Arabidopsis thaliana: one gene and its partners. The protein of the gene in region 3 interacts with the protein of the main gene of each other region in a biochemical or structural test. Each region holds a gene or a part of one and is shown on either strand. Other genes may lie near its edges. The genes, in order: AT1G29350, AT5G44310, MC9 and CPN60B.

Region 1 (7,483 bases), on a different chromosome or scaffold from region 3:
GGAGCTTCTTGAGCATGATTTTCCTCTTCTTCCACAGTTTGATCATACCAACTCTTCTCCTTGTCCAGCTGCTTCGATATAACCAAGAGGTCAGATTTATTACGAGGACCAAACGCTTCATCATCTTGTGTCATAGTATCAAAGTTTAGGCTTTTCTTTGCAGAGCTTCCCCAATAGTAAGTTTCTCAGAGGCGATCACGTGCTTCAATTGAATGTAGTCGCCTCTCTTTTTCAGATTCAAGCGAAAAGGTCTTTCTCTGTTAAGAGCTTGAGAAGAAACTCCTTGTTTTACTCGTAGTGAAGAGATCAAAGGATCAGAGACCGTCAATTGCGAGTCCGAGACATGGGATAAACCAGCAGATTTTGATGCTGCAGCTGGAGATTTGTTCTGGTTCATCCTGCGGGTCACAGCTCTTTCTTTTGATGAGGATGGCTTGTGATTATGGTTCTCCAGAGTGTCATCATAACGTCTTTTGCGACCTGAATCCTTAAAGGGAGGGATCTCGCGGACTGAAGAAGGGTTCTTAATCTCTGAAGGTCTCATAAGTTTCTCCCGTGTTCGGGGAATTGAAGCTGTGCTCCATTCAATTCGTCGATCATAGCCCTGAGAGTCATCCCTAGTCGTATGATGATTTGAGTAGCGAGCATTTGCAGGTGGGTTCCAGTTCTGAGATCGAGAATTGTCAATACGACGCCAAGCATGTTTAGAATTAGCATTTACAACTTGTTTGCCTTCTGTTTTTCTCCTGCGGTAGTCAGAGGTTGTTGGGTCTTCTTTAGCTTGTGTTGGCTTGACCAAGTCAGGTCTCCACCACGAAGGGTGAATCCTTCCATTTGTGCTGAGCTGGAGAGTTGCAGTAGGAGTAGAAAGAGTTAACTTCTTCCCTGAAGTCAGCTTTCCCAAGCTTTTGTCATTATCTTTTTCAAACGGTAACGTCTCCTTCTGAGCCACAAGGTTTAAAGGACAAGATTCTTGTTCGTTGTAGATCCTATGACAAAGCTTACACCACCTAAAGAGTCTCTTGGAGCCGAGAGATACCCAAACAAGCTCACCCGAAGGGATTTAAGTCTTTTTGCGGAATCTCAAGGGTTCATCTGCCTTACTAGTGACTGTGTTATTTTAAAGATTGGAGATGTACAACTTTTGTAAACTGTTGTCGTACTAAATCGAACAAGACAAAGTTGAAAGACTTGTAGGTAACTGAAAACAACGGAAACATGAGGAATCTGCTTATTAAGCCCAGTTGCGATTCTCTCTTTATTTGTTTCTTCTCTTCTCTTGTAAACAAGTGTATCTTTTTGGTTCATTTGTCTCTAACCTTTTTTGTAATACATTCTTCTTTTACTTAGAAAGTTCATGTGCTTAACTCTGTCCAAAGTTGCAATCCAAACTAGTAGTAATCTTTCATCGGAAGCGATATAAACCCAAATCAATCGTTCTTTATTATCCTTGGGCAATGTGGTTTTGGTTCGGTTTAATTTAGCACTGCTGGTTTAAACGAGAGAACCGGTTCAGTAATTTTTCAAATTTAAAAAGGCAAAGAGGAAAAAAAAAGGAAAAGAAAAGTTGTTTTTTTTTCTATAAGGTGAAGAAAAAATCTGGAGAGGGTTTCGTTTTCTACAGAGAGAGATATATCTTCCCTTGAGCTTCCTTGGTGTTCTTCGTATTGTCGTCGCGACTGAGAGAAGGCCACAAAAGCTTCGTTTATTTCCTTCAGATCCGATATAGTGAGAGAGAGAGAGAGAGAGGCAGCTTACGGCGGATAAATATGAGCAGCAGCAAGGTCGGCGGCGGAGCAAGGAAAGGAATTCAGGATATTCCGTCAGGGTCTAGAAAAATAGTACAAAGCTTGACGGAAATTGTAAACTCTCCTGAGGCTGAGATCTATGCTATGCTTAAAGAGTGCAATATGGATCCTAACGAAACCGTTAGTCGCCTCCTCTCTCAAGGTTCCTCCTTTTTCCTCCTCCTCTATTTGTTTGAGCTGCTGTGTCTTTGGATTGTTAATTTGGGCCTGGGGTTTTCATGTATCCCGAGGAGGATTTCTCGAAATCGACTTAATTACTAAGGGTTTCTATTAGGGTTTGATTGGGGTTTTTATTCTGAACAGACCAATACTTTCGTTTTTGTTAGTTTCTAGAATTTAGTCATTGTGCAATTCTAAAGCTGTCGCCTTTAATATGGTTCCCCTTGTAATTGTCCAACTTTCTAGCTGGTTCGGTTTTATAGAGAAGAAAGATGTTGTTAATGGTTTGCTTTCTTAGTTCTTGATTCAAGGCTTGTCTTTGTTCTATTATTAATGATATTGATACTTGTTTTTTCCTTATTCAGATCCATTTCACGAGGTAAAGAGCAAGAAAGAAAAGAAGAAAGAGGTGAGTCCATGTTACAAATCGTATTCTTATGGATAATAGACCCAGGGGTGTTTTGTTGTGTGCTTTTGGTGTCCAGTGTTGGCGTTTTAAGTGCAAACTTATGGCACAATCTCTGTATCATTACATGCTTCAACCATGTGTGATACAATCAACTTCTGTTTCTTGTACACAATTTCTATGTTGACACATCTGGCAATGATTTTTTTTATTACTAGCTGTCATCAATCATCATGCTGTACCTGACTCTAGATGTTTTGCTGGAATCAAATGAAGTCTAGGTCTAGCTAGTTATTATGTAGTACCTGACTTTAGATGTTTTGTTGGAGTGAAATGAATTCTAGTTTTAGCTAGTAATCGTTTTAATTTACTAGAATTTTGGTGATTTTAAAAGTTTTTTTTTGTCTATTCAGACTAGGGATATATCAGATTCTCGGCCGCGTGGTGCTAATAACACCTACAACCGTGGTGCTAGAGGTGGTTCTGCTCGTTACGCCGGACGAAGTGGATCTACCCATTTCAGCTCTACTGGTATAAGCATGATCTCTTGTATACACAAATATATATTTAGTTTTAACCGTAAGATTCATGCTTATGTGCTTCTGTTGTTCAGATTCTGGAAACTTCCAGGGAAAATCTACAAATAAGAAAGAAAGTGGAACGCAGGGTTATACAAGTTCTTGGTCTTCTGCTTCTGGAGTGGCGAACACCTATCAAACACCACACAGGTTTCCCCTTGAGCGATTCTTTACTTTTGAGATGGGAATTGGGATGCTGTTGAAATATTTAGTGGAAGTTCTGTGCTGCGTATTGAATCAATTAATTGATTTCATATTTTACTCATATGGTTACTCATTGTATTAGTAGGATCCATCTAGTAGTGATTTTCAAAATTCCCAGTTTATGATGTGCTTAAGGGATATCACCAAATAGGAAAACTCTGTGATTATTTGTTTGATCTTAGGCCCTTTCCTACATTAGAATACAAAGCTTAAGTTGGATTGGTTAAAGTAATTATATGACCTATGGCTTAGGTAGGTAGTAGAATATCACAATTAGTTTTACAAGTCTCTAGTTTGTGAAAGATTTGAGCCAATAACTAGAGAAGTACTGGTAGGTAGTGGTTCATTTCTCTTTTTTAGCCTTTTCAATTTGACATTTTTTTCCCTTGGATTATGTTTTTGTACATGTTTCTATTTGGGTTGTACAAGTTTCTCATGTATCCTACTTATCTTTTGCAGTGAACCCATTGCTATGGAAAACAAATTGCCTCCTGTTACCTTGGGAGATGGAATATCATCATCAAAGTCAGCTTCTGGACATCAAACTGCATGGTTTGGAGCTCCAGGCCAGAGGTCTATGGCTGAAGTTGTGAAGATGGGTAGACCACAGAACAAGACAACAAAGCAAAATGTCAATGTGGGTTCTGAGATAAATCATGAACACGAAGTTAATGCAAATCAGCAGGCCCCTGTTAAAGATGAATGGCCGTCGATTGAGAAGCCGCTGGCTCCTAGTACATCTTCTTTATCAGTAGCACCAGCAGAATCAGAAGTACGCAATGGTCTAGCTGATTTCCAATCCGATAGAGGAGATCAATATCTGAAGGACCGGTTAGAAAATATTCATATAGCAGAAAGTGGCCCGTCTGAAAGTCGTGGGGTCGATCATGTGCAAGCCGACTCTGTTCAAGAAGATGAATCTGTAGTTTCGTCAGAAATTGATGATAATCCATATCAGACACAGAGCCATCCAGTAGAGCACCACAAAGGTAATATTTTGAATCTTTATAAAATGTTTCCCATTTATTGCTAGTGTGTGCCATTATGTTCAAATTCTTTTTCCTGTTTCATTTTGGAGTGGGCTTGTGTTTATTGATCATGTGAATACAGATGGGATTATAGTTCTGCTGGGGGGTAATGAAAGCTTCTTTGCTGTTTTGTTTGTCATAAAACTATACTATACTTTGCCTGCTCTGTTTTCTTTCTCAACTATCTTTTGGCGGTAGAGTGATTCTCATTATGTGATGTTTTGTTACAAAATATAGTATTCGAAAATCAATACCTTATGAGGATCTTTTGGTGTTTCTGATGTTTTTTTTTTATTCACTGTCTCATTATTACTTTTCAGATGAAGATGATGTTTCATCTGGTTCAGCCAGTTTTCAACAACTAGATAGTCATGATCAAGAAGTCTCACATGAAGAGGATAGACCTGCTGTTGTAATTCCAAACCATTTGCTAATTCACACAGAAGAATGCGCGCAATTAAGTTTTGGAAGCTTTGGAGGTTTTGGATCAAGGCCTTTGAGCAACAGCGTAGAAGCGACTTCTGATGTAGCTCCACAAATCGAACATTCAGATGCAAGGTATATTTCGTGTTTACTGATTACTTTTTCCAAACTTTTTATGGACTTCATTTATATCATACTTACCAACTGATCATACTTGTTTGCAGAAATACTGAGTTCTATGGAGATGAACATCTGGGAAGTACAACCAATGGAAATATGGTCCACACACCTGCTACTGGAAATTATGATGATTCTTTAGAAACGAGGCGAGAGGTGTTGAAGCAAGAAAACTCTGAGGGCGCTCAGGAGCACCAGTACACATTTACCCAGTCTGAGCAAGGGTATGCGTATGAAAATGCTAAGCAGCAGCAGATGAATTCTGCATATGATGCCTCACACACAAATTCACAGAATCAGATGCATAATCTTGATTCATTATCAAATGTGATGGTAAGCTACATGTTTATTTTTTATAACAGAACCATGTTTCAATGGGTTTTGAAAATCATAGTTGTTTGTGATAGCTTCTAAGATACTCAATTTTCTTTTTAAAATGCAATCAGGCTTTTTATATTTTTGCTGGAAGAGTAGCTTAGTAATCTCTGAAGTGATTCCCATGAAATTCTTGAATGTTAACATTAGTTCTTGTATGTTTTTATCTCAGCAGGGGTATTCACACTCAGTTCCCAACACTTTATTGGCACAAACAGCACAAAATGCGAGGGAACTTGACTTCCAGTATTCACCTTTCTCAGCTCAACAGTCTATGCAATCAAGAACTAGCAACAATGCCTCATCACTTGGTGGCCAAAGCATTTCAATGCCAGAGGTAAATAATTCTTTCTCCTTGAGAAACACGGGACTGAAATAGTTCTTTCTCTTAGCTTGTTTTCAGAAGTAGTAGTTACTGGTTAGTTGTCACATGGGTACTGTTTTGCTTACTTAGCCAAAGGCAGTAGTTTCTTCAGATTCGAAATCTGAATCTTCTTTTACAAGTGAAACGTGTGTGATTTTGATTTTATATTCTTTTACATTGCAGGCGCTCCGAGGCAGTGGAATTCCGGCAACACAGCCAACCCAGCAAACACTACCTGGTGCTAATATCGCTACTGGACCTGCTCTTCCTCAGCAGCTTCCAATGCATTACTCTCAACCCACATTACCTCTAACACACTATGCAAACATGATCGGTTATCCTCTAATGCCTCAGAATTATCCATACATGCCATCTGCTTTCCAGCAAACATTTGCTGGTAATAGTGCATACCACCAGCAACTAGCTGCATTGCTTCCGCAGTACAAAACCAATGTCTCTCCCGGTAATTTGCCTCAGTCTGCAACAGCGCCTGCCTCTGCTTATGGATTTGGAAACTCGACCAATGTCGGATCTGCCGGAAACTTCCCTCTTAACCAACAGTCTGCTACTACCGGTACAACGCTTGGTTATGAAGATGTTCTTAGTTCTCAATACAAAGAGAATCATCTGTTGGCACTTCAGCAGCAGCAGCAACAACAGCAACATCAACAACAGGTACTTTCTCTTTTTGGTCACTTCCTTGCCACTTTCGTTTGGTTTCAGGCATGAACCATTTTGGTGACGTTCTTCCTCTTTTTGACTTAAATATACAGAACGAAAACTCGGCGATGTGGCATCAGGGTCATGGTTCCAGAACCATGTCAGGTGTCCCGACTAACACGTATTACAACCTCCAAGCACAACAACAACTGCAACTACAACACCAGCAACAACAACAGCAGGCTCAGCAAGCAGCGGGAGGGTATCGCCAAGCTCAGCAACAACAGCATTATGGATCTCATGGATACCCAAATTATTATCAGTCTCAGACCGAAATGTCACTCGAGCGCCAGCAGCAAAACCCTAGGGATGGTGCTGGGTCTCAGGCTGGTCAACCGTCGAATCAATCTCAGCAGCAGCTCTGGCAAAACTCTTACTAAATAAAGAAAGAGAGTGGGTTTTTTCAGCTTCTTTCTCTCGCTTATAGAGGTTTGTGTGGCGAGTCTGAAGAGGAAATATGGTCGTGTTCTAAAATGTAACTTATCATCATCTTTTGTCTCCTCTGTTAACTTAGGGAACATGCAACTCTGATTTCATCAATGCAACTTCAGAAATGAAACTTTTTTTTTTAACTCTTGCCTCTTCTTACTTCTCTTGTCTAAGGGCTCAACGTGATTTTTGAAGCATGTTCTTCTCTTGTTTATACATCTGTGGAAAGAAAAAATTATTTATAATTTTCTTAGGTTACAAACTTCTCTCCAGCTGTATAAGTCAATGGAGGAATTGTGGACACAACGTCTGGATTGATTGATCTAATCTATTTTCAGTCTAAGTTTTCTAGGTAGCAAACATGTGTGAGCTTCGAGTCAAGTCAATGTTTTGAATGTAGTTCGTTTACTATTAGTGTTATCAGAATTTGTTTAGTGTTTGAATAATCTTCTTATTGATTAGACATCAGATTACATCACACTTAACGTTGTCACAATAGAGATGTGAACAAAAAAAAACAAAGAGAAAGGGAAAAAAATTATTAACTCAAACACTCTCTATGGATTTTACGTACCTCTTATCGACAAAGCTAGAAGGATTTTGCAATGAAATGATTACACATTTTTTTAAAAGTTTCAATGTCAATAAACTATACACATAAAAAAAAAAACTCAAATATTTTCCAAAATTCCAAGTTCGTTATGTGGAAAATGTCAATACACACAAACTTTCAGTCGGATTTAAATAACAATCTGTGCGTTGGATAATTTTTATGTAGTTTAACCTTAATATTGACATAATGAAAAGACATA
Region 2 (4,077 bases), about 17 Mb from region 3:
ATCTACGGCCTCATTATTTTCATCAACATTTGAAACACGGTCACTTTCAGCATCATCATCATGAGCCCTAGAGACATTATTCCTGAGTGTCTTGACGGTTGTAATGAAAGAGACAAACAAGTTGAGAGAAGGATACCTACCACGAATCATAAAGAACGTATTCAACTCCACTTGACTGTCAATGTAGACAGGAGGGCGTTTAGTATCTATCATCACTAACATCTCTCTGGGCATCCAGTAACTAATTATGGGATTGATCTCTGTGGACTTCAAACTGAAAGCCTCGCTTAGTGTACGTACAAATTCCGTGTACGTCATGTTTTCCGTAACACGTACACAGCGACCAAACATGTCTTTCTTTAGTTTAAATTTCTATTCTTCTTCTTTGCATCTCCCCTCACCGACCATAATAAATACGGGAATATCCATTACCCAACAACATCATAAATTCATGAGAAACCGAGTAAATGCAACTGAAAACATGATTATATCTACAAAAACAAATAGAATTTCGATATACACACTTATAAACATAAGTATTTACACATTTATCATTTTCAACCAACAAAATTGAAAATAAAATATTTCTGGGTTTTTCTATAAAAAACAAAGTTGATTTTGAACACAATGAAGATCATAGTATGTTATAACAAAAAAATTCTTTAAAACTTCATTACTTACACGATAATGCTTATCTTGACTCCAAACTTCGTAAATAAAAAAGATCAACACTTCTTGAGCATCAATGTTTGTTCGCAATTAATGTTTGTTCCTGGGTTCATCTTTAACTCACCAATTATTATCAATAATTTTATAATATTATAACTAAACCGGAATAGTGTACCTAACTAAACCTGACTAAATAAACCGTACATTCAACAGTTTCTCTACTGCAGCAGTAAGGGCAAAATGGTCAAATTTCAGCTGAAAAGACAAAACGTGAAAACCACCTTTCACTTTGCCAATCCTTGAAAATAAAACATGGTCAAAGGGTGTGGCCTGCAAATTACCCTTATGGAAATTTCATTTTGGCTCACGTACAATGACTTTTTTTTTTCTTTTCCTAGTAACCAAAGTAACCTACATATATATATCCTGCAATCAAAATTAAGCATGAGAGATCAAATATTCGGTTTGTGTTTGTGTTGGACTCTAGTTTTCTAAACCCCATTCGAATATTTTAAAACTTTGGGTTGGGTTCGGTTTAGTACTTTAGCGTTTATACTCTAGAGTCGGGTTATTTCCTATGGGAAACAAATGCAGAATAATAACATCGTAATCATATAATAACATCGTAATCATAACACTTTTTCATGTGTACAATTGGGAAGCGCAACCAGAGCGAGATACTTGAACCAACACTAGAAAAATGTCATTTAATTCATAAATTTTTGATGATAGAACTTCTATCATAGAAGGATAACTTCGAATGTTGTTTTTTTTCTCTGTTTAGAACATGCAAGTTTATGTGTAGAATCCCCCTATGCTACTTTTATCCATTATCGTGTCTCTTTATCAAAGTTTTAAAACGTTAATGTATATATTTCTAAAAAATCCTGACCATGAGGGAATTTCGCATTCTCCCATTTGTTGCCTACAGCCGTCGATCTTGAGAATCGTCCATCTAATCCCACGGTCCCTACTCGACATAAGACACCAGATTTGTTCGATAACACACCATAGTAGTTTAGTTATCACTTGGTTAACACGTGTTACAACATCAACACGTGTCGAATTCGTACTGCCAGCTGTCCCAAATGGCTTCTATAAGTTCGCAACATAGATAATGCAAGCCGAGAGATTACGGATCCAAAACTTCAGAAAACTAGATTTTGTAAAGCTAAATTAAGCAGAAGAAGAAGAAGAAGAAGAAATTGTTTTTGTGATTGATTAATATGGCGGCTATGCAGTTAACGAGAACGGTTTTCTTCGGGATCTCGAAGGCTTTCCCTAAAAGCCAAGCTCCTAGAACTCTTGCGGTAGCGATTGGTCGGAAAAGCTCTCGTGTCTTTTTTGCATCGTCGGTTAACCATTCTAAGGTAATTAATATATGGTCATCAATACAGATTGATGCATAACCGGTTTTTATGCTTGTGTGTAAATTAACTAGTTGATTCACAAATGATCTTGATATTCAAAACTATTTTATTTAATTATATAAAAAAAGAAGGAAATTGTTTTGTGTATATGTGAAGTGGGATCTTTATTTTTAAAAATAAAAAGTTTGTATCTATTTATAATATGTGGAGTTTTTTTCCGTGTGATAATTTGGATGGTGAATTTAGCAATATGGTATTAAGCTAACGTGTTTGACAAGAAATCAAGTGGAATCTGAACTTTGAAAAATGATCAATGAGTATGATATTTGTTTTTGATATAAGATTTTTACAAGACTCTTTAACGGTTTGTGACACTTGTTAATTCAATAAGCTGGTATTAGGTCAATATGTGTGAAGAGATATCAATGGTTGTTGATTTTCAGGGAAGATATGATCCAGTAGAGAAAGCGAGAGACTCGAGGGCCGACTTGGCATATGATTCGAAAAAATGGAGAGAAGAATCAGGAGAATACGCAGAAGCAGGTAAAGGGAAAGCCCACAAGACAAAAGAGGAAGCTAAGGACAAAGCTTACGATATGAAAGAGAGAACGAAAGATTATGCTGAACAAACTAAGAATAAAGTGAATGAAGGAGCAAGCAGAGCAGCTGATAAAGCCTATGAGACGAAAGAGAAGGCCAAGGACAAAGCCTATGATGTGAAAGAGAAGACGAAAGATTACGCAGAAGAGGCCAAGGATAAGGTGAATGAAGGAGCTAGTAGAGCTGCTGATAAAGCTTACGAGACAAAAGAGAAGGCTAAAGACAAAGCCTATGATGTGAAAGAGAAGACAAAAGATTTTGCGGAAGAAACTAAGGAGAAAGTGAATGAAGGAGCGAGTAGAGCAGCAGATAAAGCTTATGATGTGAAGGAGAAGACAAAGAATTATGCGGAACAAACAAAAGATAAAGTGAATGAAGGAGCGAGTAGAGCTGCGGATAAAGCTGAAGAGACAAAAGATAAAGCAAAGGACTATGCAGAGGACTCAAAGGAGAAAGCAGAGGACATGGCTCATGGGTTTAAGGAAAAGGCTCAAGATATTGGGGAGAAGACTATGGATACTGTGAAAGATGTGTGGGAGACGGCGAAGAGCACGGCTCAGAAGGTGACTGAGGCTGTGGTTGGGTCCGGTGAGGAGGCGGATAAGGCTAGGGATGATGTTGATAAGGGCTTGGAAGATTTGTCGAAAAAGGCGAAGGAAAATCGAAATAAGGATGATGATTTCAAGAGGTTCTAAATTTACTGATCATCTTGTTACCTTTTCTCTTTTGTTGTTATTTTACTATAGGTGGTGTTTCATCTTTCTATGTTTTAAAAGCTCTGTTTGAGAAACTTTTATAGTAGGGTATTAAAGGTTTTATCAAACATTCCTTTGGCTTTGAGGTTGATGTGTAAAAATAAGCTAAGATCAGAAAGATATCTTCAAAGTAAAGATGGCGCTTCATCGTTCCATCATGAGTTTATGTTCCTAAATACAAGTTTACTGGATTTGGGCAACTAATATTAGTACAAGCAAACCTTGAGACAACTCACTAATCCTTTCTTCGCCAATTGTCTCTTCAACTTTGCCTTGTGGCATCTTTTCACGAGGCAGAACCCTAACCCTATGAGAAGGCGTCGGGTTCGAAATCGTTATAGCCTATGACTCTTATCAATTATCATATATAAAACCGAAAAGAAAGTAATTAATATTACCTCAATTCTCTAACCCAAATGCATGATCTCTGGGATAGACATTTAGACCAAATCCTGTTTCGACCGTGGGTCAACTCTCAAGATCAGGGAAGAGCCACGTCCAGATTAGTATCTTATAGAAATCCAAATCTGGGAGAGGAAACTTATCCGCTGTTCATTCAGCTCCCATGAGATACTCTTATTGGGAGGAAGAGAAGCCAAATAAGTTTTCATCTCCGTCAAGACGGTACACCAATTACTCGAACCATGGTGAGACTCTTAATCATGCTGAGTCAAACCACTTGA
Region 3 (3,576 bases):
TCCACCAGTACGGGACTCGATGGAAGAGACCGTGTCTGAGTACGGTTACGAGCCAAGCGAAGCAAGTGTTACTTGGAGCGTTATGACCGCCGAGCCGGCCTCGGCCGTTGCAGCTAACTTCTCAAGAATTGCCTTGTCGTCATCGTCTACAGCATTTAGTGGTTACGATAAGAAGAGAACCGGTTTGTTGAACTGTCATTGTGAGAAGGCGGTTATGGTTAACGGCGATAAGCGTTTAGTGCAACCGGTTAAGAGCGTTGGTGTTCAAAACGACGTCGCGGGAAAGGTGTTGTGCAACAATGGCAGTTCTAAACTAAGCGTGACGAGTAGACCAAGGCAATGATGGATACCAAATCTTTGTTCTTGGTTTAGATCCGGTTTTCTCCAGTTATCTTGGTGTGTTTTGGATGCTTCTCGTGTAAAATTGCTCTGTTTTTTCTTCTTCTTTTTTTTGGTTAATATAACTTGTGTAATGATTAATGAAGATTATGGTTTGTGAAGTAAACAAAATCAATGTGTCCTGTATTTATCACAATATTGATCACATTTTTTTGTAATAACCGGAGTAAATCCCGGAGTGAAACCCAAACTAATCCTCAATACTTGTATGTTGTATTTAAGGCGTCTATAGTCAAGAAATAGATTCGTAGCCTTGACCCACATAGCGAATCCTCTATCCACTCGAACAAACCAATGGACCACAAAACACTTGGTTATACGATTTCTTTCTTTAGAAACCTCATCCACTACTTCTTTGAGGTCCCATGGAAACATCAATCTTCAAAGATTGTAGGCGGGCTGAATTGAGCAAAAGAAGATGCCCCATGTGTCTTTGTTGTAGGTACATTCAGAAAACAAGTGGTTCTTGGATTCAGGTGCATTACAGAGGAGACAAAAATTTCAAGAATATTCATGCCCCAATTCCTTAATCTATCACGAGTTGGGAACTTGGGAGATGATTCCAAGCCGTTACCCAAGAGATAATAAATGCATGCATAGGAATATAAACAACTTTATGCAATAAACAGACTGTAGTATTGGTCATCGATTTAGTTTTGTTTATTTGTTAAAAACATAATCCAGCATGTGTTTTTATCACATAAAACCAAAAAGAAAAATTCTCAGTTGATGAAGACGTTTAATTTCTGATTAGTCTTTCGTTTACTAAAAGCTTTATCTTTTAATTTGAATGCTTTTTATTTTGTTAAAGAGTTTACCATTGAAAGTTTGATTTCTTTTTTGGGGATATAACTTGTAAATATGAAGTCAAGAGTTAGGCTCGTAGGTGAAGTGAAGATGGTGCTAATAGCATAAATGGTTCGTCTCAAAAAGACTTTTCCGTTGCGTGCACGAAGTATATAGACGGTCCTTTAGGATTAAGGCAAATTATAGTTTGGTCAATTGACATTATTTTCAACAATGTATACGTTATATACATTCGTATATCATAGCATTTAAAGTTAATTAGCTCCTCTCTTCCCTTAGATAGCTAGATGGATTAGGTCTAAATATTTGGGAAAATGACTTCCCTTTTGAAGTTACGTATATATCCAAGTTAACCAAATTAATCATGAATCCATGACTTAGGATTAATTATGTCTTTCTCAAAAGTCTGATTTAAGGTTTAGTTTCTTGCTTGAAAGCATTAATAAGTCAAGAGTAAGCCATTAAAAAATGTTCCATAGCTTAAAAGCAAACTAGACTTGAAAATATAAATACTAATATCGTATGTAACTTGAACTTCACTACACGAAACCTCAATCATAAATACACATTAGCTCCAAAACCACAACACTGCACATGAAAACTAAACACACGTACACAAGAAACCCCAAAACATTTTGCCTAGAAAGTTGTTTAAATTACCTCTTAAACCTTAAGAAATCATATCCAGAAACTCAATGGATCAACAAGGGATGGTCAAGAAAAGACTAGCCGTTCTCGTCGGCTGCAACTACCCTAACACAAGGAACGAGCTTCACGGTTGCATCAATGATGTTCTAGCCATGAAAGAAACTATTTTGTCACGTTTCGGATTCAAACAAGACGACATTGAGGTGCTAACGGACGAGCCAGAATCAAAGGTAAAGCCGACAGGTGCCAACATCAAGGCTGCTCTACGTAGGATGGTGGATAAAGCTCAAGCCGGATCTGGAGACATCTTGTTCTTCCACTACAGTGGCCATGGAACTCGTATTCCTTCGGTTAAATCTGCTCATCCTTTTAAACAAGACGAAGCTATTGTTCCTTGTGATTTCAATCTCATCACAGATGTTGATTTCCGAGAATTGGTCAATCAACTTCCTAAAGGAACAAGCTTTACCATGATCTCTGATTCTTGCCATAGTGGTGGTCTCATCGACAAGGAGAAAGAACAGATCGGACCCTCTTCGGTCTCCAGCAACATATCTCCGGCTATTGAGACAACGAACAAGACTATAACATCACGTGCCTTGCCCTTCAAGGCAGTCCTTGACCACTTGAGTTCTCTCACCGGAATTACAACTTCCGACATCGGCACACATCTACTTGAGCTCTTTGGCCGCGATGCTGGTCTTAAGTTTCGGTTACCGGCAATGGATCTAATGGATCTTTTGGAGACTATGACGGCCCGTGAAAAACACGTGGACTCAGGGATATTGATGAGCGGGTGTCAGGCGGATGAGACGTCTGCTGACGTCGGCGTTGGGAACGGGAAAGCGTACGGAGCGTTTAGCAACGCGATTCAAAGGGTGTTGAACGAAAATGAAGGTGCCATGAAGAACAAGCAACTAGTGATGATGGCAAGGGATGTGCTTGAGAGACTAGGGTTTCATCAACACCCTTGTCTCTACTGCAGCGACCAGAACGCAGACGCGACGTTCCTTTCTCAACCTTGAATTTTAAACGTTTGCGTTGTTTTCTTTTATTTGTTTTATCACGTTTGCCTTTGGGGTTGTTGTAAATTGTTAACTGGTGGAATGTGTGTATTTTCTATTCTCTGTGGTGTACTCTAAAAGGAAAAAGGACATATAAAACTTGTTTAATAACATTTATCTTTTTTAATGGTACAAAAAGGTTTAATTAAAGCTTTTCTAGAGAATGTACTAATTTAGTTACCAAGTCAGCAGTATTGGAGCTAGAAGAACCAACCTCTTGGGTTGAAGAAATGGCAGCACCAGTCATTTTGTGCTGCCATTTTTCAGTAGGTCCCCACAAGAGTTTAACCCTCTGGCCTTTGATGTCAGTCCAGGAGGAGAGCTCAAGCATGGCCTTCTCAGCAGCTAGACGGGTAGTGTAAGTGAGGAAGGCACAGGTGCCTCCTCCTCGGTGGGGGAAGATAACAATAGATTCGATTTCACCATAGGGGCAGAAATGGTCTCGGATGTCCTGCTCGAGGACACTGGAGTTAATAAGTCTACGGATGTAAAGAGTTTTAATACTTTGATCCTCTGGTGGTTTCAAAGGGCCCGTGTTACAAGCTCTTGCAAGCACCTCGAGTACAAATGGGTTTTCTAACCTGCGGTGAAGAAAAATACATGAAACACACAAACAAACAAAGACTCGAGAATATATATACATCTATATATGTATGTA
Region 4 (6,037 bases), on a different chromosome or scaffold from region 3:
TAGTCGCAGGTACATTGTTGTTAGCCTTAGAATATGAGGATGCAACTCCACTGCCAGAAACAGACCTCTGCACATCTGAGAAGTTAGAGCCATCGTGCCATGACACAGGAGTGTAAAACCCATCATAGCTATACCTGGGGTCCTGATAACCAGCAGCAAGACCACCTCCAAGAGCACTGTTTCCATACAGTGCACTCTGATTCAATGGTTTAACAGGAGCTGATCCATTCATTCCTTTAGGGATACCAGCAGATGCAGAGTTGGCTGCTTTGTTTGTAGAGAGCTTGCTCTGAGTAGAGGCAGGAACAGACGAAGCGAAAGGCCCACTACTGGCTGTGAGAGGAAAAGGATACTGGTACTGCTGAGCACCATACAACTGTCCATCACCACCAAGTTGTGGAGCAGGGCTTGTTGCTGGTGAGTAAGGAAAGGCAGCATACCCGTATCCCTGCGGATAAACAAGAGATGCATTCTCTCCGTAAGCTCCCTGGAGTGATTACCAAATGACTAAGTAGGGCAAAAGGTAAAAGAGAGGCTAAATAGTCTGGACACGAGTTGCTTATAAGAAAATATTAACGCACGTACTGATGTCATATCAACACTCTCGGAATTGGTATAACCTGTGTAGTCACTCCCATAACCTGAAAGATTATACAAACGGTTGTGTTATAGATATTACAATAATTCTAGACAGTAGAAGGCTGAAGATATATAAATGAAACTTAATTATCACCATAATAGTAGGGCTGCTGATACACATTAGGAACATAGAAAACAGAAGGATCCAAGGCATCACTGGGTAGCATAGGTGACAAAGATCGATCAAAAGAAGGAACTTGACCATTCGAATCCATAGCTCCATACTGGTAAACACCCGTCTGCAAAGATAATGATGCTATGAGAACTCTGCTTGGAGTAACAAAATGTGCAGAGACATTAAAAGATGTAACTTTACCTTCTTAGTAGGCTCAGGGATCTCCAAAGTCCTAGACTTTGAATCTAAAGACAGTTTCTTCAATACATCAGCAGCTTCTGAAAAAACAATGTAAGTGAAGGAAACAAATAGGTTTCTATCTTCAGCAAGACTAAAAAATTGATTTTTCTAATCAATTTATTCACTTTGCTAGCTACAGGAACAGTCAAATTCATCGAGCTAAAACAAACAGAACAAATGGAAATGACATCATTTCACTATATGAATCGAATTACGATGAAGCAACTAGATTCATGAACGTAGATCACAAAAGAAATGAAGGAGAAAAGAAACAAAGGCAAAGGATACGATCAGCAGGAGGAGCAACAGTAGACATGAGAACAGAGTTGGCAGCGAAGACTGATAATAGATCCTTGTCGGATATTGAACAATAAGAGTTTGAGACAAACACAAATATCAGAGCAAAAAAGAACTCAGAAGGAATCTAGGGTTTAAGAGATTGAATCGTAGCCGCAAGAGAAGAGAGAAGAAGAGGAAGAGGCAAAAGTGGTTTTGTTCGTTCACCTCGATTTGATTCAAATACCTCCAAGATCCCTTTTTTATATTTTTCTATTATTTTTGTTTACCTTTTTCTCCATCGTTTTTTTTTTAAAATACTTCCTTTATTCCAGCCACATTAATATTATACTAGTCACTACGAAATATCTCACAAAATAATACTATAAATATTATTTCCTCGAAAATTTCGCAATTAATCGGGAAAAAATCAATTTTTAAAATAAATATCACTGATTCCAATTCCATTGTTAGGAATTAAGGAGCAAGAATAAAGGCCCAAATAGGCCCAATATAAATCTGATCCAGGATCCGAAGAGTTGAATCCAACGGCCAAGATTAACTCAAAGCTTGAAAGAGGTAAGGGAACGTTAAAAGCACCTTCCAAGCGAGAGTAAGGAGATAAACCTACTTCCTTTCCTTGCTTCAGCTCCCCTTTTCTTATCCGGAAACCAAAAACTTCCGGTGATAAAACCTCCTTCGTCATCTCTCTACTTCTGTTAGTTTCTTAATCCTTACTCTTGGAATAGTTTATCCTCTGCATTTTTTAGTGCCACAGTTTATGTGTGTATGTTTTGTTTGGATAAGAATTTGTTGTAAGCTTTTGAAAACTTGTATTAGTTCATTACTTCCATGATTTTGGGTGTTTTGTAATAAAATTTATGGATTAGTGTTTCTTCAGATTGTCAATTGTGTTCTTATTGAGCTCTGCTTTCGAAGGTGTCGCCTTTCTTCTGGTTTGTTGTGAAAATTTATTACTTTAGCTTACTGGGTTGTTGTTTCTTTCTGTTATATTGATTGTGTTAACCGTATATAGATGAAAAGAAGAGTCTTTTTTATATCTTTGAAATCTTATCTAAGTGCTGAATTTTGTCTGTCTTTGAAGTGGATAAAATGGCGTCAACTTTCACTGCCACATCTTCTATTGGTTCAATGGTTGCTCCGAATGGTCACAAATCTGATAAGAAACTTATCAGCAAGTTGTCTTCAAGCTCATTTGGAAGGAGACAAAGTGTGTGTCCTAGACCCAGAAGATCCAGTTCTGCAATTGTGTGCGCAGCAAAGGAATTACATTTCAACAAAGATGGGACTACCATTAGGAGACTTCAAGTAAGTATCTTTTTTAAAAAAAGTTAATGGAAACTTCATTCCCAAACCGGAGCTAAAGGTTTACATTTTCTGTGGTTTCTAATTTTGTGTTGTACTAGGCTGGTGTCAACAAGCTCGCAGATCTTGTTGGTGTTACACTTGGACCCAAAGGACGAAATGTTGTTCTTGAGAGCAAGTATGGATCACCACGAATTGTTAATGATGGTGTGACTGTTGCAAGAGAGGTATGGAATTATTACCCCTCTGATAATGATTTTTGTTCTCATTCAACTGAGTCTTAGAGTTTCAAACTTTCTCCTGTAGGTTGAGTTGGAAGACCCGGTTGAGAACATTGGCGCTAAGCTTGTGAGGCAAGCGGCTGCCAAAACCAATGACTTGGCTGGTGACGGTACAACAACATCTGTTGTTCTTGCACAAGGTTTTATCGCTGAGGGTGTCAAGGTCTGTGTAACATTCTTCTTTCAGCTTTCTCTATGTGAAACTTCAAAAACTTTTGTACTAATTTTAAGATTATCTTATTCAGGTGGTAGCTGCTGGTGCAAACCCTGTTTTGATCACCAGAGGTATTGAGAAGACAGCAAAGGCTTTGGTTACCGAGCTCAAGAAAATGTCTAAGGAGGTTTCAAATTTATAGAACTCTCTTTCTTTTAATATGTTAAGAGTCTTTTTCAAAAGGTTCTGAATGTAAGTCATGTCGATGTAGGTTGAAGACAGTGAACTTGCAGATGTTGCAGCTGTTAGTGCGGGTAACAACGACGAAATTGGAAATATGATTGCTGAAGCAATGAGCAAAGTGGGCAGGAAAGGTGTGGTGACCCTTGAGGAGGGTAAAAGTGCCGAGAACAACCTCTACGTCGTAGAAGGAATGCAATTTGACCGTGGTTATATCTCTCCTTACTTTGTGACAGACAGCGAGAAAATGTCCGTCGAGTTCGACAATTGCAAGGTAGATGTTTCTTGAATCTGAGTAGAAGATGAATTTTGTTGGCAGACTATTTAGCCACTAAAGATATTTATATATGAGTATAACAACGATCTTTAATGTTTTGGTATGATTGCAGTTACTTCTCGTTGACAAGAAAATTACCAATGCAAGGGATCTTGTTGGTGTTTTGGAGGATGCAATTAGAGGCGGATACCCAATATTAATTATTGCTGAAGACATTGAACAAGAAGCTTTAGCGACTCTTGTTGTAAACAAGCTTAGAGGTACACTGAAGATAGCAGCTCTCAGAGCTCCAGGGTTTGGAGAGCGCAAGAGCCAATACCTTGATGATATTGCCATTCTAACTGGAGGTAAGTTCTGTCTGCATTGATGAGCCCTATGTTTACGCATATATTTGTAGTTTTTATCTTGTCCTAATTTTCTATCTTCGCTTGCAGCAACTGTGATCCGTGAGGAAGTTGGTCTTTCACTTGACAAAGCTGGAAAAGAGGTTCTTGGTAATGCTTCAAAGGTTGTCCTCACAAAGGAGACCTCGACCATAGTGGGTGATGGAAGCACACAGGATGCAGTGAAAAAGCGTGTTACACAGATTAAAAATCTTATTGAGGTATAGTAAAAGAGTATAGCATATATGGGACCTCTTTTACTTTTTGTGGATAGTGTAGTTACATTGCAATGGTAATTGGTTTGTGCAGCAAGCGGAGCAAGATTACGAGAAGGAGAAACTCAATGAGAGAATTGCAAAGCTCTCTGGTGGAGTTGCTGTGATTCAGGTAAACTAAAAACTATTTAAGTTTCCTTTGTCTGATTAAGATGTGTTTCAGAGATATTAAGTTAAGCTCGTTATGTATTGGTTAAAGGTTGGAGCACAAACTGAGACAGAACTCAAAGAGAAGAAGTTGAGAGTTGAAGATGCTCTTAATGCAACAAAGGTGATTTTGTATTTCTGAGGCTTGAGAAGCGTGTTATTTGCATACTCGTGAACTATAACTAATCAGGATTTTAATTCTTCAGGCCGCTGTCGAGGAAGGTATTGTTGTTGGTGGTGGTTGCACTCTGCTTCGTCTTGCTTCCAAGGTTGATGCCATTAAAGCCACGCTTGATAATGATGAAGAAAAGGTAAATCAATCAAGTCTTCAGATTTTAACTCATGAACCTTCGGTTTCTCTAACTTTGCTGATGATTCCCTTTAGGTTGGAGCGGATATAGTTAAAAGAGCACTAAGTTACCCCCTAAAACTAATCGCCAAGAATGCTGGTGTTAATGGAAGTGTAGTTAGCGAGAAGGTAATAACAACAGATAACATAATTCCCACTTTTTTATCTCTAGATTTCAAGTCAGATGCTTGAAGAGATGTCTCTATTCATTGGCAGGTGCTTTCCAACGATAACGTGAAATTCGGTTACAATGCTGCAACCGGCAAGTACGAGGATTTGATGGCTGCAGGAATCATCGATCCAACAAAGGTAAGTTTTCTGTGCATATACAGAAACTGTCTTTGCTAGCTAAATTGGTCATCAAAGATCCATGAACCTGAGTGGCTTTATCTTGATTTTAGGTTGTGAGATGTTGCTTGGAACACGCAGCTTCGGTTGCAAAGACTTTCTTGATGTCGGACTGCGTTGTTGTTGAGATCAAGGAACCTGAACCAGTTCCCGTCGGCAACCCAATGGACAACTCAGGTTTGTTCAGAATTTCAAATACTTGAGTCTTTGGTAAAGATCCCCCGCATTCAATATTCATGTTTCATTGCTGAATCTTGTTGGCCTCTCTTATTTCAGGATATGGATACTAAGAGGAGATAGGCTAATATTGAAACGGATTACTTTAGCTTGCGAGTGTAATGATTTTGAACAAGAGAATGTGTAATGTGAAACTGAAATTTTGAATTAATCATCATATGAATAAATCATGATTCCCTCAATGCTTCGAAATATCTCGAAATCGCCAAATATGAAACTTTTGATCCAAAGATTTGAAGATTTATTATCACTTCATATGAAATGGTATACGTAAACTGAATGAAATGGTTAAAAGAATTTCTTAAGAAAAAAAGAACACATTTATGATCGAATAAAATTCCTCACAAGTATGTATAGAGCCAAGAAGAGAAGAGAAGCTATGAACAGATCACATCAAAAGACACAAACTTTAGGTGAACTATTTCTTGTTAAAGCCAAACAAGGATTTGATGGCGTTAATGGCACTCTCATTGATGAAAGATTCGTCGAATTGCTTCAGAAGTGGATCGAAATCCTTCGACTTCCTGAGAGTTTCCAGATCTGGATCACTTCTGATTCTCTGCAAACAAAACAAATAACACAGCTTCAACAAACAAGTCCATCCTTCTCTCTGTCTCAATTGAAACATTACAACTCCTTGGACTTACCTTAAAATCTTCATATCCTGACTTCAATGCTTCTTCCAGAGCCGAGAGACCAGCTTGAACCTATCAAAATAACTCTATCAACACTGCAAGTCAAAATGCAATA

Evidence for each region.
Region 1: of the proteins of MC9 (region 3) and AT1G29350, one has a biochemical effect on the other in vitro, tested with the Arabidopsis thaliana proteins (one large-scale study listed by BioGRID).
Region 2: of the proteins of MC9 (region 3) and AT5G44310, one has a biochemical effect on the other in vitro, tested with the Arabidopsis thaliana proteins (one large-scale study listed by BioGRID).
Region 4: of the proteins of MC9 (region 3) and CPN60B, one has a biochemical effect on the other in vitro, tested with the Arabidopsis thaliana proteins (one large-scale study listed by BioGRID).

Annotation. Positions count from the first base shown.
Region 1 is NC_003070.9:10,267,900-10,275,382, reverse strand, and holds AT1G29350 (RNA polymerase II degradation factor-like protein (DUF1296)), read left to right. Parts: upstream 1-1,561; 5' UTR 1,562-1,769; coding exon 1,770-1,950; intron 1,951-2,332; coding exon 2,333-2,376; intron 2,377-2,786; coding exon 2,787-2,904; intron 2,905-2,986; coding exon 2,987-3,101; intron 3,102-3,614; coding exon 3,615-4,144; intron 4,145-4,503; coding exon 4,504-4,741; intron 4,742-4,830; coding exon 4,831-5,116; intron 5,117-5,330; coding exon 5,331-5,495; intron 5,496-5,705; coding exon 5,706-6,197; intron 6,198-6,295; coding exon 6,296-6,622; 3' UTR 6,623-6,962; downstream 6,963-7,483. Other genes in the region: AT1G29355 (uncharacterized protein), read right to left, coding at 1-68, 293-989, 1,334-1,335.
Region 2 is NC_003076.8:17,847,255-17,851,331, reverse strand, and holds AT5G44310 (Late embryogenesis abundant protein (LEA) family protein), read left to right. Parts: upstream 1-1,795; 5' UTR 1,796-1,895; coding exon 1,896-2,039; intron 2,040-2,307; exon of another isoform or gene 2,308-2,446; coding exon of another isoform or gene 2,447-2,482; coding exon 2,483-3,334; 3' UTR 3,335-3,551; downstream 3,552-4,077. Other genes in the region: AT5G44306 (uncharacterized protein), read left to right, coding at 3,960-4,077.
Region 3 is NC_003076.8:1,151,992-1,155,567, forward strand, and holds MC9 (metacaspase 9), read left to right. Parts: upstream 1-1,748; 5' UTR 1,749-1,901; coding exon 1,902-2,879; 3' UTR 2,880-3,049; downstream 3,050-3,576. Other genes in the region: PKS4 (phytochrome kinase substrate 4), read left to right, coding at 1-343; AT5G04210 (CCCH-type zinc fingerfamily protein with RNA-binding domain-containing protein), read right to left, coding at 3,064-3,499. UniProt on the Arabidopsis thaliana protein: Cysteine protease that cleaves specifically after arginine or lysine residues. Does not cleave caspase-specific substrates. Required for proteolytic processing of GRI.
Region 4 is NC_003070.9:20,715,020-20,721,056, reverse strand, and holds CPN60B (chaperonin 60 beta), read left to right. Parts: upstream 1-1,795; 5' UTR 1,796-1,988; exon of another isoform or gene 1,989-2,375; 5' UTR 2,376-2,383; coding exon 2,384-2,599; intron 2,600-2,697; coding exon 2,698-2,823; intron 2,824-2,902; coding exon 2,903-3,040; intron 3,041-3,122; coding exon 3,123-3,218; intron 3,219-3,302; coding exon 3,303-3,545; intron 3,546-3,660; coding exon 3,661-3,895; intron 3,896-3,982; coding exon 3,983-4,152; intron 4,153-4,240; coding exon 4,241-4,318; intron 4,319-4,405; coding exon 4,406-4,477; intron 4,478-4,559; coding exon 4,560-4,664; intron 4,665-4,738; coding exon 4,739-4,831; intron 4,832-4,918; coding exon 4,919-5,011; intron 5,012-5,103; coding exon 5,104-5,227; intron 5,228-5,326; coding exon 5,327-5,340; 3' UTR 5,341-5,494; downstream 5,495-6,037. Other genes in the region: ECT4 (evolutionarily conserved C-terminal region 4), read right to left, coding at 1-487, 586-641, 734-878, 956-1,032, 1,283-1,310; ZKT (protein containing PDZ domain, a K-box domain, and a TPR region), read right to left, coding at 5,706-5,846, 5,935-5,994. UniProt on the Arabidopsis thaliana protein: Binds RuBisCO small and large subunits and is implicated in the assembly of the enzyme oligomer. Involved in protein assisted folding. Required for proper plastid division.